Schizosaccharomyces pombe: one gene and its partners. The gene in region 1 interacts genetically with each later gene. Each region holds a gene or a part of one and is shown in the gene's direction. Other genes may lie near its edges.

Region 1 (6,529 bases):
TCAGTTTTATCACTTGAAATTCATTTGCATCGACAGTTCACAATAACAAGATGAGCAAAATGGCCGGTCTAGATAACGCTGTTATGGTCCGTGACGATCAAGGAAATCCTTTCATTTTAGTACGTGACCAGGAAAAGAAGAGAAGATTGCATGGAATTGATGCTGTAAAAAGTCACATATTAGCTACCAAAACAGTTGCTAATATTGTGCGTACTTCTTTGGGTCCCCGTGGACTGGATAAAATTTTAATCTCTCCAGATGGAGAGATTACGGTTACCAATGACGGTGCTACAATCCTCGACCAAATGGAGGTTGAACATCAAATTGCAAAGCTGTTAGTTCAGTTGTCTAAATCTCAAGATGATGAAATTGGGGATGGAACTACTGGTGTTGTTGTACTAGCAGGTGCATTACTGGAGCAGGCCGAGGCACTTATAGACAAAGGTATACATCCTATAAGGATTGCAGATGGTTACGAAAAGGCATGCCAGGTGGCTGTTAAACATTTAGATGCTATTTCAGATGTTGTCGACTTTAGTCCCGAAAACACTACTAATTTATTTCGTTCTGCTAAGACTAGTTTGGGTAGTAAAGTGGTTTCCAAAGCTCATGATCACTTTGCAAACATTGCTGTGGACGCGGTCCTTTCTGTTGCTGATTTGCAGAGAAAAGATGTTGATTTTGAACTCATTAAAGTAGATGGCAAGGTTGGTGGTTCAGTGGATGATACAAAGCTTGTAAAGGGTGTTGTGGTGGACAAAGACATGTCGCATCCACAAATGCCTCATCGTATTGAAAATGCAAAGATTGCTATTTTAACCTGCCCTTTTGAACCACCAAAGCCAAAAACTAAGCATAAGTTGGACATAACATCAGTGAGTGAATTTGAAGCCCTTCAAGCTTATGAGAAGGAAAAATTTCAGGAAATGATTAAGCATGTAAAGGACGCAGGAGCTAACCTTGTTATATGTCAATGGGGTTTTGATGATGAAGCAAACCATCTACTTCTTCAAAATAATTTACCGGCTGTACGTTGGGTGGGAGGTCCCGAAATCGAATTGATTGCTATTGCTACAAATGGACGAATTGTGCCCCGATTTGAGGATCTTTCGTCTGATAAGCTTGGTTCAGCCGGTATAGTGAGAGAGGTGTCGTTTGGTACGACTCGTGATAAGATTTTAGTTATAGAAAAGTGTGCCAACTCTCGAGCCGTAACCGTTTTTGTACGAGGAAGCAATAAGATGATTGTCGATGAGGCGAAACGTGCTTTGCATGATGCACTCTGTGTCGTTCGTAATCTGATACGTGACAACAGAGTAGTGTATGGTGGTGGTGCTGCTGAGATTTCTTGCTCTTTGGCTGTCACCAAAGAAGCTGAAAAGATTCCTGGTATTGATCAATATTCCATGGGTGCATTTGCAGATGCTTTGGACACGATTCCTCTTGCCCTCGCGGAGAACAGTGGCCTTTCGTCCATCGAAGCTCTTACAGCAGTTAAAGCTCGTCATGTAAAAGAAAACAAGGCATATCTTGGTATTGACTGTTTGCAGACCGGAAGTAATGATATGAGAAAGCAGTTTGTTATTGATCCTCTTATTGGAAAGAAACAACAACTGCTTCTTGCTACTCAGCTTTGCAGAATGGTACTCAAAGTTAACGATATTATCGTTGCCGGTTCTAAGGATGATGACTATAACTAAATGGCATTTTCATCCGCACGGCTAAAGGAAATTTAATTTACTTCATTTCATACGGCAAGCATGTGCTTTTTTGAATAAAATGGTGATTCTGTGTACTTATGTCAAAATAAAAAATTTCTTGCATATATATAAATTTTTTCTACTAAGCATCATATTGAGTCCGTATTTCCAGTTTCAATAGTATTTTTACCTACTCAGAGATTGTGAGCTTTTCAAAGCCTTCAGACACTCTAACCTTGTTTATGGCATTATTTTTATACTAAACTCTGTTTATGATTTGTTCCATAAAGCTGTACAAATAGACCAAATACATCAGCGCTCAAGACGGAAATCGTCGGCTACTTTTTCCGCAAAAACGCTTCTGGTAGCACCTGTAAAGCCGAGTTTGGGCAAAATGATATCAGTTTTCTTAATTGAGCCATGCGAGGATATTTTCCTAACATTTCTCGCTAATCTAGACTGAGTCTTTTCGCACAGAAATCCATTAGTATTGGATTAATGTATTCATCAACCTTTGTTCCTTTGCTTTCCTTCATTGTAAATAAGGAGGTTTAGTGTAGTAGCTTGGACCAAATCCGACGCTTTTTAAGAGGGGTGAAGAAGCAAAGCAAACCAACCTCCACACAAAAGAAAAGAACATCAAAAGACTACGATTTGCTGATTTTCAGTAAAATCCTGTAATTAAACGGCAAATACTGCCTTTAAGTTCAGCGTGAAGTTGAAATTAAAGGAGCTTGAGCTTTATCGAAGTCACTGCCTTTTTTGGAAGAAGCTTCATTAAAAGTTTGCAATACGTTGAAATCTCTCTTTTGTATCCCGCCTCTTAGTTATCAATTGATATTATCTTAACTTTCTTTACTATTTCTTTTTTAGTTGATCTATTCTCATTTTTTAAATTCTCGTTTGTCCTCCTTTTGTTTAAAGCAACCGGTTGTTCCTTCTGTACTGAGTTTTAAATCTTTTTCCTGTCCTGTTTGATCGGATAAAAGCTCATTCCATCTTTTTGTTGAGCTTGCTGTAGAATCTCAACTATACCGATTGATTTTACTACTTTTTTAGAGCACATTTGCTTTTCTTCAAAAAAAAGTATCCTTCACTTTTTAAAGCAAATTTATTCATTCATTCAGTTGATCATAACATAATGGCAAAAAGAGTCGTCTCCCCAAACCCAATGCTCTCGTTGGAAACTGAAAATATCGCAAAAATGGGTACCTTAACTGCGGATAGCCTGGGATCTATGTGGAATGGTAATGTGGTTAACAGATGCTCTATATTAACTCTTTTTTTTCTAGTTTTTACCAAGTGTGCTGAGAACCTTGAAAACGGTCGTCGTTTAGAAAATATATCTTGGCGCCTGTGGTATCGTGAAGCTATGATGTCCGATGCTAATGATGCTTGTCAAATTGCTTGCCAGGAATCTTCCGTCCCTGATCTTTCTTCAAGTTGCGATTCCATTAATTCTACCGTTGAATCGGATGCGGGTCATGTTGTAGATTCAAACTCCTTTAACAGGATTGACAATGTTTCCGTTAATGCTCCTATTGTGAATGAAGTTAGCTTGCAAGCGCCAATGAAGGGTGGAAGTCATTCCTCTATTGTTAGGCCACAAGCCAAACGTTCCAGCTCACGTCTTTTGTCTACAGACGCATTTAGTCAGTTCATCTCTTCATTTTCACCGCCGGAAAAACCTAGTATGAAGGATTTGGCCCTGTTCCATGGAAATAAATCACCATCTTCTAAGGAAACTATACCTAAGGTTTCCAATTCAAACTCATCTGATACTTCGACTGATGATCAAGCTTATTTGAACGTTAGCGTTTCAGAAAACGAGCATGCTGATCGGTCGATTAAGACACATTCATCTGCACCTCCTTTGAATCAGCAAAAATCATCTACTAGTGTTAATGATGCAGTTTCCAAAGCCATACAACTAGTCAAGTCTACCAGCGATTTAGGTAGCCTAAGTACAAATACATCTTCAACTGCTCAGAAAAATAAATCAAGAAAACCCACTAAGTCTTTTAGTGATGCAGTCGCTGCTGCATCTCGGGCTAAAGAGCTCGAAAAAGAAAAATTATCAAAAGTCACTGTAACCCCTGATGATTCTACAAGTATTATTCGGGGGTTTGATCCAAGGTTGCCCGTTCTATCCACGAAAAACGTTAGTCATGAAGAAAAAAGTCATTCAGTGCAAGATGACAAATCAAAACAATTGTTAAAACCGAATCCTACGCAGCCTTATTTTTACCTGAGGGGTTCTTTTGATACTGGGCATTCGGCATCGTCGTCTATATGTTCAGCTGCTGTCGATAGCGAATCTGTGAACTCTGCAGACTTTCCGCATCGCACAGTTTATGACCCTCTTCCTACTCATGCGATAGCCGAAAGTATATCTCAAGAAAATGTTATTGAGGATGATGATGATGATGATGATGCATGGGTATCTGTCGATGAAGCAGAGTCACCTCATTTTACAAAACGGTCGCCTGCGCCCTATCTTTCTAAGTCATTCCGGAATAGTGCACTTTCTTTGCTTTTGTCTCAAGATGAAAAGCTACAACACGACGTGCGATCAGCTTCTTCAGCCGCTTTGAATTTACCGAGAGATACTGATATAAAGGCAACACCAAATTTATCCCAAAGTGGAAATATTAATTCCGACAACTCTGACTTGAGCAACTATCCTTACAATGATTATCGTGTATACAGAATGTCTCATTGTTCTTCTAATTCGAACAAAGTATTAGCCTCTGAAATATCTGAAAGTCTAAGAAGAGACCTACTTTGGGAACGGCGGCAAAAAGCAGCAATGAACAGTGCAGTTTTACGAAGACAGTCAAGTCAATCGAGTGGGGCTAACGATGATAAAGAAGTTAGAAACAGAAAAGTTGTCGAGAAAGGTTTTGCTAATGATTGCTCCGTTTGGTGAGCAGAATACTTAATTTAAAAATTTTAGCTGTTTTTTCTTCATTAAAAAATTTAAAAAAAAGTTATTAGCATATTGGACTCGTGCAAAATGGCTTTGCAATATTTAAAAATTCCTGTAATTAATAACGTCAGTCATTACATTCTGATTATCCGATTTTTTCTTTGACTGATTTCGTTAACTTGTGATACGCGTATTGACTTGTTATTTAGCCTGAAAAGTCTACGCAGCCAACGATGGTGATAGGAAAATCTAGGGTAAAACCCCCCTTCAGCGATGAAAATTCACAGGTGATTCTTTTATACGTTCGGAACTGTTCGATGAACGTATTTGGCAAAGCTATTATTTATAACACTCTTTTCTTAATTTGATCTTTAAGGTTGGCATATCATCTTTGCTAAGTTTATTTTTTTAGTATCTGTGCATCGGATGTTAAAGTATGTTGTTTAATAAGCTTAACTTAGCCGGTTTTCATACCAATGTACATTATCTAAAGAATTAATCCCTGTTTAATAATTTAGTTTTTGAATCTTAAGTTTTTCAAAAAAAATTTTTCGTTTTCAATTCGTTTTAACAATGTTGTATTTGACGAACTTTTTTATTCTTTTTATTTATTAACATTGTCATCAAGTTTTTATTTTCAAGCACACTACGCAATCAATGATATTTTTTATGAACTGATCCCAGCTTTTCAGTAACAATTTATATAATAAAAAATTTTATTGTAGTCTGAAGCATATATTTGTCTATATTTTAATGTCGAATCATTGAAGGTCTCAGAAATTTGTAGAATAAGAAAAATAGATACAATCAAGCGATGAGTTCCAAAAAAAATTACAAAGAAAATCGTATTTATAGTATTGATTTTGATCAGAATAGCGATTCTGTCTTTATTTTCGCTTTTTACGTTTCATGAGATGACGGTTGTTTGGGCTCACGAATCATACCGGGACTTTCTCTAATTAGTTCACCGGTATCCTCGTCGACCAAATTCGCTATAACGGATGTTTTATATCCCAAGTGCTCATACATTTTGAAGGCCATTTTACTAGCCATAAGGAAGCATGGAATTTGATATTCATCGGCCAAGTCATGAGCCATGTCCAAAAGATAGCCACCGACACCATTCCCTTGAAGAGCAGGATCAACACAAACAAAATGGATGTGGATAAATCCTTTAGGATTCTTCAGCAATCCAGTTTTATAAAGAGCAGCTCCGTATTGCAATTCATTATAGTGGAATCGTTTTTGTACAATTTGCGCACCATACCACCAATACAAAAAATTGCTGTAGTACTTGTTTAAGCTTTTCAAAATCCAGTCTCTATAAGAGACGTTAGGGTCAGGCGGGAATTTTTTAAAGGCCAAAAATCCAACGTACGGGTTGGAATCGGTATACGCGACTATGCAAGTTACATGTGGATCAAAATACGCATCTCGAGTCAGCTGCATGGTTAATGCTTTCATCGTTTCAGAAGACATTCCTTTGAACCTCCATTTCCAAGTCGCACTGTCGCTAAACGCCAACAAACTAACTTCCGTTACCCTTTCGATGTCATTGAATTGCAAGGGTCGATGCCGCAGCGGTTCCCCATTCACGGTCTTTACCATTTTGAGAGGGTATAAACGAATGTAAAGTGAGAAAGGAATATATTGAAGTAAGTTACCGCTACTCAAATGAGATGAATGCTAAAAGAATGCGTTACTGCGTCTTCACTCCAGAGAATATGGCTCTGAGTAGCTTACCGAATCTGCGTTAAAAAGCTGTGACTATGAAATCAGAGTAAATGGCATGTTGCATGAGGATCAGGCGGAATCGACAGTTTACATGGTCATCCAAAATCAATCCGTTACACAAACAACTTTTCACATTGCTGTCGGAAAAGAAAGTCTTGTTATAGTT
Region 2 (4,864 bases), on another chromosome or scaffold:
CTTTCGTTTCCCGTTGTCCGATAAGTAATTTGAATTGTAAGGAAGCATCTAATTTAAAATCACATTAAGTCTTCTGTATTTATATATCAAATATCAGAAGTAGCACGTTTGGTTCGTGTTTGGGGCGTGCCTGACTCTTACGGGAGTACGCAGAAAAAAAATAATGGACTCTTTAAATCTGGATATGTCTTAAGTTAATTAAAAAAATTTACTGGATTTTAACGGTAATTATCGCAATGCCGTATATACTTTAACCTGTCAGGAATAGTACACTACGCTATGCTACACTACGTTGCGTATCACTATATGTCATATGTTGGAATACTAGCTAAGATCCGTTTATTGATAATCACGGGTAACTATCCGTCTATATACATAGATACCCGTTGATAACAACTATTTAGAAATATTATAAATAGCGTTACAACTGAACCTCGTTCCTCAGTTCAGTTATGAGCTATATTAGTGATAGGTAACATTATAACCCAGTTAATACAATACCTATACTCAGTTGCTACTTATACAACCTGTGTATTGTAATATAATAGACCACAAGGAAAACTCACCGCAGTTCTACGTATCCTTAAATCAGATACCAAACTGCGTAGCTTACATAACCTAGGCTTGATCTTATCGTTATATTAAATGCTTTTTATTACCTCAAAAATCTACTTCAACAGTTTGATTTCAAGCTAAAATGGTAAATTTTAATGCATAAAATATACCCATTGAGTAATCTATTTGCTCTTTTTTTTATACCGCTCGTCCGCTGATGAAAACGTCAACATAGCAATGCTTGTATCAAGTGAAGATGGATGGTGTGAAATCACTTGTTATAACAGAGGAGTAATTGAGTATTGCTTTTTTGATCACCACTGTTTGATACACCCTTGCCTGCTAAACAATTCAATGTGAGTTTGTAAATTGCAGTTTTATTTATGATCATCGACCAAGCCCTAACATACATTTGTTACTCGATTTAATTTAATTAATTTAATATTTCAACAAGGAACTATGAATTTGGAGACTTTGTCGCCCAGGTATTTTATTATATGTAAACACAAATTAAGCAGGTCGCACGTATAAGTCTACCGTATGTTATAAACAAAGATAATAAATTTTAATAAGATGACAAATAATTTCAGGGACTTTCAACATACGAATATCAATTGTCTACTTTTCATGTTGACAAAACTTTGACCTCTTATAAAGCAAGGTCCCAATAAATTAGGTCTCCACCACCATCAACAACTTGCATTCGTGATTTAAAATGGAAAGGAAATCCCAAGTTTCAGATACAAATAATAACTCTATACCTACGTAAGTTTATTAATTATTAGTTTATTTCTTTACGCCGGACTGCGAATTGGTTTTAAGAAATTCCATACAACCTTCCACAACAGTCTATAATCTTAGGTCTCTTATATTGTTTATTCCTTTTATATTCTTAACTAAATATGTTGGAAATGAAAACTTACTAACTTTCGTAATAGTAATGTTCTGCTTAAGTTTGTGGGTTTTAGTGTCGCATTATTTACATTACCACTTATAACTTATTTTTGGACGTTGAAGACTTTATTCAAAGGTATATACTAATTGTTGAATAATTTTGATTTTTACTGATAAATTTTGTTTTAGGATATCAAACATTGTACGCAGGATTATCTGCAGCTGTAATGGTCAATATTATCTTGGCCTTGTATATAGTCGCAGCCTTTCGCGAAGACTCCGGGACTCCCAAGAAGGATATAAAAAGGGAATAATAAATTTTCAGTAACCATTTTACTACTATTTTGAGTTATGACTTTTGCATTTCAATTCTAAATCAAATTTTGAAGCGGATTTTCCTTCTGCCAACGTATTTAGGTGAATCATTCGATGTCTTTATTTTTTTTCGTTAAAAGTATCGCAAAATGAAAGACTTTAGCTGGGACTATCCTATAATCTACTGGATTTTGCATGTATGTCTATTGAATAAGGTGCTACCACAAAGCTGTTGCTGGTGATACTACTCCTTTTTGTATCTGAATTAATGAACGGAAATTTTTTTGTTTAATTTTTCGCTAGTCTGTAATGAAAATATGTGTCTGTTCTTTAGTTTTTTGTAGTTTCCCAAAAAACACGAATTAGCAAAATGCAATTGATATGGCAATTTCAACCAATTTTATAATTAAATTTTCCTTTTTATAATATAAGGCTAACATGTATGATTCTTATCAAACATAACAGCTGTAGGAATTCAGTATTCTTCTAACACTTATGCATCACTATTTTCTCTCACCCCAAACCCCTCGTATATTGGAAAGTTGTTCAAGTGAGCATTATTGATTTTTTCCCAATATAATATTGATAAAAATATATATCTGTAAAAAAGTTTGGTGTTAATTATTTATTTTATTCTGTTTTCTGCTGATTCAAAGACTTCGAACATGTCGACTGCCAGTGAACAAGCTCGACTTAGACGTGAACGTCGACTGAATAAAATCAAACAAGGAGGTGCATCTAGAATCAATCAAATTTTGGGACAGAATTCAGATGACAGTCAATCCGATGTTCGAGCTACAGCTTCCGAGGAAGCTGTACATTCTGAAACTGCAACACCAGTAACGCCAATGTCTTCAGGATTCATGGAAAAGAGAGATGATACCTTCAATGCTGATCAAGTGGAATATCTTCCTTCCCAAGATTACCATAATTTGGAAAGTTCGCCTTTTAAACTTCAGTGTGATTCTCCATATAATGTACCACCTGAAAACATGTTTAATCAAAACCCTGATTTTGCAAATTTTTTTCAAGCTATGTTACAATCCGCAAAGGAGGGATCTGATACAAATTTTCAAGGTGAAAACGAACAAATTCCTCAAGCTACAGCTCCTTTAAAAAACTTAGTTGAGAAATATGCTCATCTTTTGGCAATTTCTATAGTAGTGATTGTTTGTTATTTTAAACATTTGGTAAGTCCTCATCTTCCTTTTTTGAAATTGTTTTTTTGCATACTAATATATTTATTTCAGCCATTACTTCCGTGGACATTTACTGTCGAAGCTTGCTTGTTCTCTATTCAATTTGTTTTGGACCGTAATAATGGACCTTCTTATTCTCTTCTAGCATCTCTGGCCTCTCAGCTTCCCCCTCCCTATGGAGCAATGATCCGTCATACAACAAGTTATGTTCCGTATTTCACACAATTGATTACAGATGCGTGTATGACAATATTTGCGTTAGGTTTATGTTGCTATTTTTATCCGTCGTTGGTGTATTAATAGTTGTTAATTTTCAGCATTTACTATTTATGAATCTTGGTTTTGCTTCGCAAATTGGTGATCGATTAATTAGCATTCAATTTTTGTTTAGATGAAATAAACTAACTGATTAAGCGAGAAAGACTTTTCAAACCCTTAGGAATTCAATTTTATATTATCTTTTCAACATCTAAACGATTTATATTCTAAAACATACTGCACTTCATTTGAACTGCTTTGCAACACATGCCATATTTACGATTGTCGGTACGTTTTATTTATTTTCTCTTTTAATTCAATGGTAGCAATAGTATATGATTTAAAAAGCTCTGTTTATTGTAATTGTAGTATTAATTAAAAACAGACTACTTAAAGTAATTTCTGGGATAGCTGTGAAAACATTATAACTATGATTTTTAAAATCTTTTATCAACTTATTATTGAAATAAAATAAGTAATTGAGAATTGGCTTGGTTGACTGTATATATGTAAAACAACTTCGTCCGAAGCGCTACAACAGCATGCAAACGTTGAAACGGCGAATTCTTGTTATAGAGAAATTTTTCATATAAAACCATACGTACATATTTTGCTATTTAAGTTCCAGATTGCTTAAAAGAAAATTGAAGTGGTAGCACCATTTTTATAAATATATGCAATGGAAATGAAAAGGCGCGTTCGCGCGGTGCGTCGAGACCAAATTCAAAAAAGATGGCGTCCATTAGAGGATAAGCAGCGCCAAGAAATAATAATTATTTTTAGGACGTGTTCAAGGTAAGTAATTGAGAATCATGTTATTGCTAAAAGTGCTTGTGCTTTTTAGCGCTTACTTGTGTACTGAAAGGGAAATCAAAGTTTGCTGTTGATGTTTACCTGGAAAAGTCTTTTAAGTACTTTTCCAAATTTTTTTAGTCATTATGTGTACGTATGCTAACTGTGCTATCGTAACAGATTGGTTTTGAATACAATAAAATCAGAAACAAGAAAATCTTTGGCCGAGGAATGGTTCATGAATATACTTTTAAAAATCGAAGCTCCTCTGAGAAATTTGCCTGTACCAAGGAAAAGAAAAGAGTCAATACTGTTCTCTCAATTACTTTCTTCGAATGTAAGTTATTAAGTCTTGATACGCATACATACGAAAGAGATATGACTAACATTTTTAGATGCAATTGGAACAGCAATTATACAGTGATTTGGACCATATTAACGTACTTCAACAGGAATTGAAGGTTGAAACTGCTCGTTTGGAGAATGAACAGAAATCTTACGAAGAAATGAAACAAAACATGGCCATAAATAATTCACGGCTTGCCGATTTAAAATCTAAAGTAAGTTTAAAACACGAACAGGCGAATGTTTTATTCAAGACTTCATCTTAACATATGACACAAAATGAGTTTTCCATTGTTTCAGTTATGTAAATAATCAAGCAATCACTAATATTTTCTTAGCTTCACCCTTATTTGAAGAAAGGCTTAAAGATATCCCATGATAATTTTTCAGACTCCAACGATTTCTCGTTCCAAAAGAAACTGAATACAGAAGATTCTAATACTTCTAAAACCTCTACATTGGATATGTATAAAGAAAAATTAAAGCCATTTACGAAAACTATGCAA
Region 3 (4,893 bases), on another chromosome or scaffold:
TTTTTAATCTATATGTGAGCTTAACTAACGAGCAGGTCATTGTTGGAATTTCTGGGCTTCATGTGGTAAACTTACCTACTCTTACTTTAAAGCCTCTATACTGGCCAAGTGCCAGTAAAAATGATACCTTACGAGTCGTTCGCGGTCTTTGGATGTACGAAGATACGGGTCTTCCTGTAATCAATGAATTGTCGGATATGTTAGAAGAGGGCTACCAGGAAGTGAAGCCATACGCCGTTAACTGGGATAATGTTTTAAAAGAAGAAGAAGAAGGGAAGGATTCTCAAGATGATCCTTCTGTATTGTCTCATAAACGTAACAAGTCCTCTAAGGAATTAATTGATGCGATGCAATGGCCTCTTAAACCTACCTCCTCTGGCAAATATGTATTTTACGAAGACGGATATAGAGCACTCATTTGTCAAGGAGGTTTGTTATCCTATTTTTCAAAAGGGACTCAATCTCGAAGGACCAGTATTAAAGGTATGCCGGTCGTTCGAGATTTTCCTTACTTTGAAGATGATGGTTTTAATGGACCTAAACAAGTTACAGATCTTTTTTTGGTGGTTCATGGTATCGGTCAAAAAAGATCAGAGACTGGTAAGTAAACTTGATTTTTTTTTATCTTACACCGGCATTCAATTACTAATGTTGACAATATAGAGGAACGATTCTTATTTACCAAGACGTGCAACGTTTTTCGTTCATTGATCCAAATTCAGAAAAACATAATGAAAGAGGATCCGTTGATTCGAAACGATTATGAACCACAACTTCTTCCGATATGTTGGAGAAATAAGCTTAATTTTAATTCATATATAAAGCCAGTTGCCGGTGATGAAGGACGGGTTGAGGATGAAGAATTTGAAGAAAATCGATTTTCAATTGAGGATATTGAAATTGATAGCATTCCAGCGGTGCGAAGGTTATTAGGAGATGTGATGAGTGATATTCCCTATTATATGTCTCATCACAAAGAATCCATTATAAAGTCTGTAATTCGTGAAGCTAATAGGGTTTACCATTTGTGGAAGGACTGCAATCCTTACTTTTTAGAAAACAAGGGCCGTATCTTTATAATTGGGCATTCTTTGGGCTCCACAGTTGTTTTTGATATTTTGTCACTTCAACCCACTTTTGTCAAAGAAATTACTATAGACGATGATGAAAGCTGCTTTATATTCGACACAAACGGTTTTTTTTGTTTTGGTGGTCCGGTAGGTTTTTTTTTGCATTTGAATCAACAAAGTATTATTCCTCGTCGTGGAAGAGGCTCATCAAGATACGAAATAAATAAAAACTTTATAAATTCTGATGTTCCAAAGTCATATACTTACGATGGTTATGATCGGTACGGATGTCTCGCAGTCGACTCTTTTTATAACATCTATAATCACCTTGATCGTAAGCGCATCATTAAATTATCGTATTTACTAACAAATTAGCCGTTGCGATGCGATTAAATCCCACAGTGGATCTCTCATTTTCGAAAGGCATCCACCCAACTCGTATACTGTTCACAAGAAAATCTTCAAGTATTTTGAGAATGATCTCACATTCTAATACTGATCCTGTGGAACTTCGAAGTTACAATCAATCTTTGCAGCAAAATAAAAACAATGAGCCCACAGCAGTGGTCCCACTGGAGCCTGAACAGACTGTCGAGTTAGAGACTCGCAATTTTCGCAGAGAAGAAAGGGCCAAGTGGCGCATGCAAGAGTTGAATGAAAACTCTCAGTTGGACTACGTATTTACGAGTGCCCATGGGGTCATTTCAAACAAATATCTTTCTATGCTTTCGGCTCATAGCAGTTACTGGAGTAGTGAGGATCTTGCTTGCTTTTTAGTAGTGGAAACTGGCCGAAACTTTGGTATTGCCAATTCAATTGAGCAATTTCGTGGAAAGCATATGCCACGTATATTCAAAGGGGACAGCTCTTGAAAATTTTCTTTTTATTTTATCTGACAGTATACCAGCGAGCTTCATATTTATTAGCGATGCGAAGTGGACAAATTAAAATGAATTTGATGAACATTGGATAATGATGATTTTTTAGGATCACTTTAATGACTTTATATATTGGCATTCGAAAGATGGTTTTGCATTCAATGACCAGATACGAAAATTTATTAGAGTATTTATAGCAACACTAGTGATTAGCTAGTTTTTTTTTTGTTTTTAATCTATTGCTATTTTTCCAAAGCTTGTTAATACAAACGAGTAATTCGTTTTATTTGTCTCTAGATTGGTTTTAAAAAGTGTCTATACAAGCAGTTAAAGATTACAGAATGCTTCAAAGTGCCCCACCTCGTTGTTATTCTATTTAATAACCGTTTTGACAAATATAAAAAACTTATATGCAACGTGACTTTGGCAAAGTGTGCGTTTATTCTAGGATCCCTCATAGGTAAATGTAAAAAACATGTTCTTCTTCTACGATAAATATAGTAATAGTCATTTCTTTCATTTTGAGATTTGAAAACCGAGGCAAAAAAAGGGTATTTTGGGTATTCAAGCTTATTTGGAAGAACGCTCACCACTCACGTTTTTTTGAATTCTTCATACAATGAGCGGCCATACTGATGCCGATGAAATTCATGAGATTTTACGAAATAGTACGACTGGTTTAGTCCATTTAAAGGATTATCAAAGAGTAAAACAAAACATCGTTGAAAAACGAGAGAAACATGCGCTATCAACCACAAGTACTAAAATGTAAGTGAAAAGAACGAGAAAAGCCCGATAGTATTCTAAATATGACTGACAATTCAATTTTAGAAAAAAGAGAAAAGATGCTTTAAGCAAAAAGGTCAAACAGGGCATTAAAGTTAACAAAGGAAAACTTTCTTTTGGTGAAGATGAAGAACTGGAGAATGATGATCTACCTTTAAAAAAAGTTGAGAAAAAAATGTTTATGGGAAAGGATCCATCTGCGGATACCTCCTTTTTGCCAGATGCAGAGCGAGAAATACGTGAAAACGCGAAGCGAGCCGAATATCGCAAACAATGGCTAAAAGAGCAGGAGCAAATTCGGGAAAAAGAGATTTTGATACCATTTATCTATTACGATGGAACAAGTACCACTTATCATGTAAGGACTAGATTGAAAGATTCGGTTGGACACTTTCTTGCTGATATGAAACAGCAAATCCCATTTTTGAAGAGGATTCTGGATATGGATAAATTTTTACTGGTTCAATCTGATTTAATCATTCCCCATCACCATGAGCTTTACTACTTTTACATTAATAAAGTTCAAGGACGTGATGGACTTTTATTTGACTTTGATAAGCTGTCATGCTCTAGTCCAGAAATGGTTGCAACTACACAACTTCCTTCTCAATGCATTCCTCATCTAGTTCAAAAATCATATTATTTACAAAATCGCCATGTGTTTCCATGTGTGCATTGGGAAGTCTTTGATTCTCGAAAAGATTATTCATTGGAAAAGCATGCAACTGATCCTAACGCTGCATTATTTTACCGGCCCTCATAATGCCTTTTAAAAAGTTTTCGATTTTTTTTCTCTTGGTTCTTTATTTTTGTTTTGCATACTCATACTTCCCTCATCGACTAATTTAATAACAATTTCATTACAACTATATTGTTTTTATGTTTGTATTTTAAACAAATGAATTGCGCCAAACATATAACTTGATAAGCTATACAAAGAGAGAGACTTTGGTAAAAAAGAAACAGATATTATCCACTAAGTATTCGCAATGGGTTTTAGTATTTACACTTACTACTCTCAACATCACTCCAACCTTGACTGAAAACCTTGATTTCATTGATGTGCTATAGGATATTGTAAAATAAAGTAATTAAAAAATTAGCAATTCGCTTTTGGAATTATTAAATGTTTCCTTTATTATTGAATTCTCATATTTCTGCTTGTTTTTATTTAATGTATCGCAGCGTTGGTATGCAAATACATAGTATTTGATCATAAACATATTAACGATACGTTAATTTGCGGTGGATTATACTGTGCTATTTAGGTATACAATTTTTGGTAAAGAAAAAAGTGATCGTGACTGAATGATGAGAATAACTATTCTATTGTAAATAAGAAATGAAATTCGCTTTTCGTTCTCTTGGAAGTATAAGCATGTCGCTTTTACGAATGTTCACGAGTCTCTAATCCTTTCGGTATACTGTAAACAATCTAGTATGTAACGTTTCATCCACCATTTTCAAGTTTTAGAATTAGAAAACCAGTAATACAGGAAATATAAGATGATACTTTTTTCTAAAACAAATAAATATGAAAAATCGACCTTGATGTAAAACGAGAACCTCTTTTAAACAATGCGATTTCCCAATATCCTAGTAATTAGCCCATTTCTGTTCAAAAAAATCAAATGGAAAAAAATAAAGTACTCAATTGTATTGAATAAACTATTTCACCCTCCAAACTAGCCAACATTCAGCCCAAGCAAAAAGTAATGCTTTTTCCCATATCCATATCGCTTGTAGCTTTACATGAAAGATTGGCAATTACGCAGTTTGCAAAATGCTTTTAAGGATACGTCAAGCTGCGAAAAAATTACGTTCCTACTAAGTCCTTATGTAGTTAATACCGCAGTATAAAGATGCGTTATCCATCATTTTTTGGTTATAATTCTACAAGCGGTGAACTCAACTAAACATCAGAATTGTTCATAAGCTAATATGGAAAGGGATAAAGGCGTCGCTCCAATTGTTGTAGAAAATGTTGCATATAATGAACAGGTAAGAAATGATTGCAGAGCTAGATTTTCTTGGTACTAGTTTTTTTAAGGATTTTATAATTGAGTGCTAATGAATCCAAAGGTCGTTTCTTTTGTTCGAAACTTGACTTCTAGTTTTTTCGGGTGCGCAGCTGGTATTTTGGGTTTAACTTCATATGA

The links.
Region 2: mutations in mks1 (region 1) and get2 together harm fitness less than expected from each alone (positive genetic interaction), as found in Schizosaccharomyces pombe (one large-scale study listed by BioGRID).
Region 3: mutations in mks1 (region 1) and xap5 together harm fitness less than expected from each alone (positive genetic interaction), as found in Schizosaccharomyces pombe (one large-scale study listed by BioGRID).

What each region holds. Positions count from the first base shown.
Region 1 is NC_003424.3:1,259,073-1,265,601, reverse strand, and holds mks1 (protein Mks1), read left to right. Parts: upstream 1-2,314; 5' UTR 2,315-2,841; coding exon 2,842-2,947; exon of another isoform or gene 2,948-2,992; coding exon 2,993-4,629; 3' UTR 4,630-5,312; downstream 5,313-6,529. Other genes in the region: chaperonin-containing T-complex epsilon subunit Cct5, read left to right, coding at 60-1,700; SPOM_SPAC56E4.07 (N-acetyltransferase), read right to left, coding at 5,530-6,237.
Region 2 is NC_003421.2:186,830-191,693, forward strand, and holds get2 (GET complex subunit Get2), read left to right. Parts: upstream 1-2,284; 5' UTR 2,285-2,429; coding exon 2,430-2,954; intron 2,955-3,014; coding exon 3,015-3,263; 3' UTR 3,264-3,572; downstream 3,573-4,864. Other genes in the region: protein Fft2, read right to left, coding at 1-48; vacuolar H+-ATPase assembly protein Vma21, read left to right, coding at 1,271-1,320, 1,494-1,585, 1,639-1,763; kinetochore protein fta7, read left to right, coding at 3,901-4,016, 4,194-4,350, 4,409-4,573, 4,697-4,864.
Region 3 is NC_003421.2:752,690-757,582, forward strand, and holds xap5 (splicing factor, xap-5-like protein), read left to right. Parts: upstream 1-2,562; 5' UTR 2,563-2,567; coding exon 2,568-2,716; exon of another isoform or gene 2,717-2,779; coding exon 2,780-3,497; 3' UTR 3,498-3,601; downstream 3,602-4,893. Other genes in the region: SPOM_SPCC1020.13C (DDHD family phospholipase), read left to right, coding at 36-600, 664-1,404, 1,446-1,942; protein Emc6, read left to right, coding at 4,676-4,735, 4,817-4,893.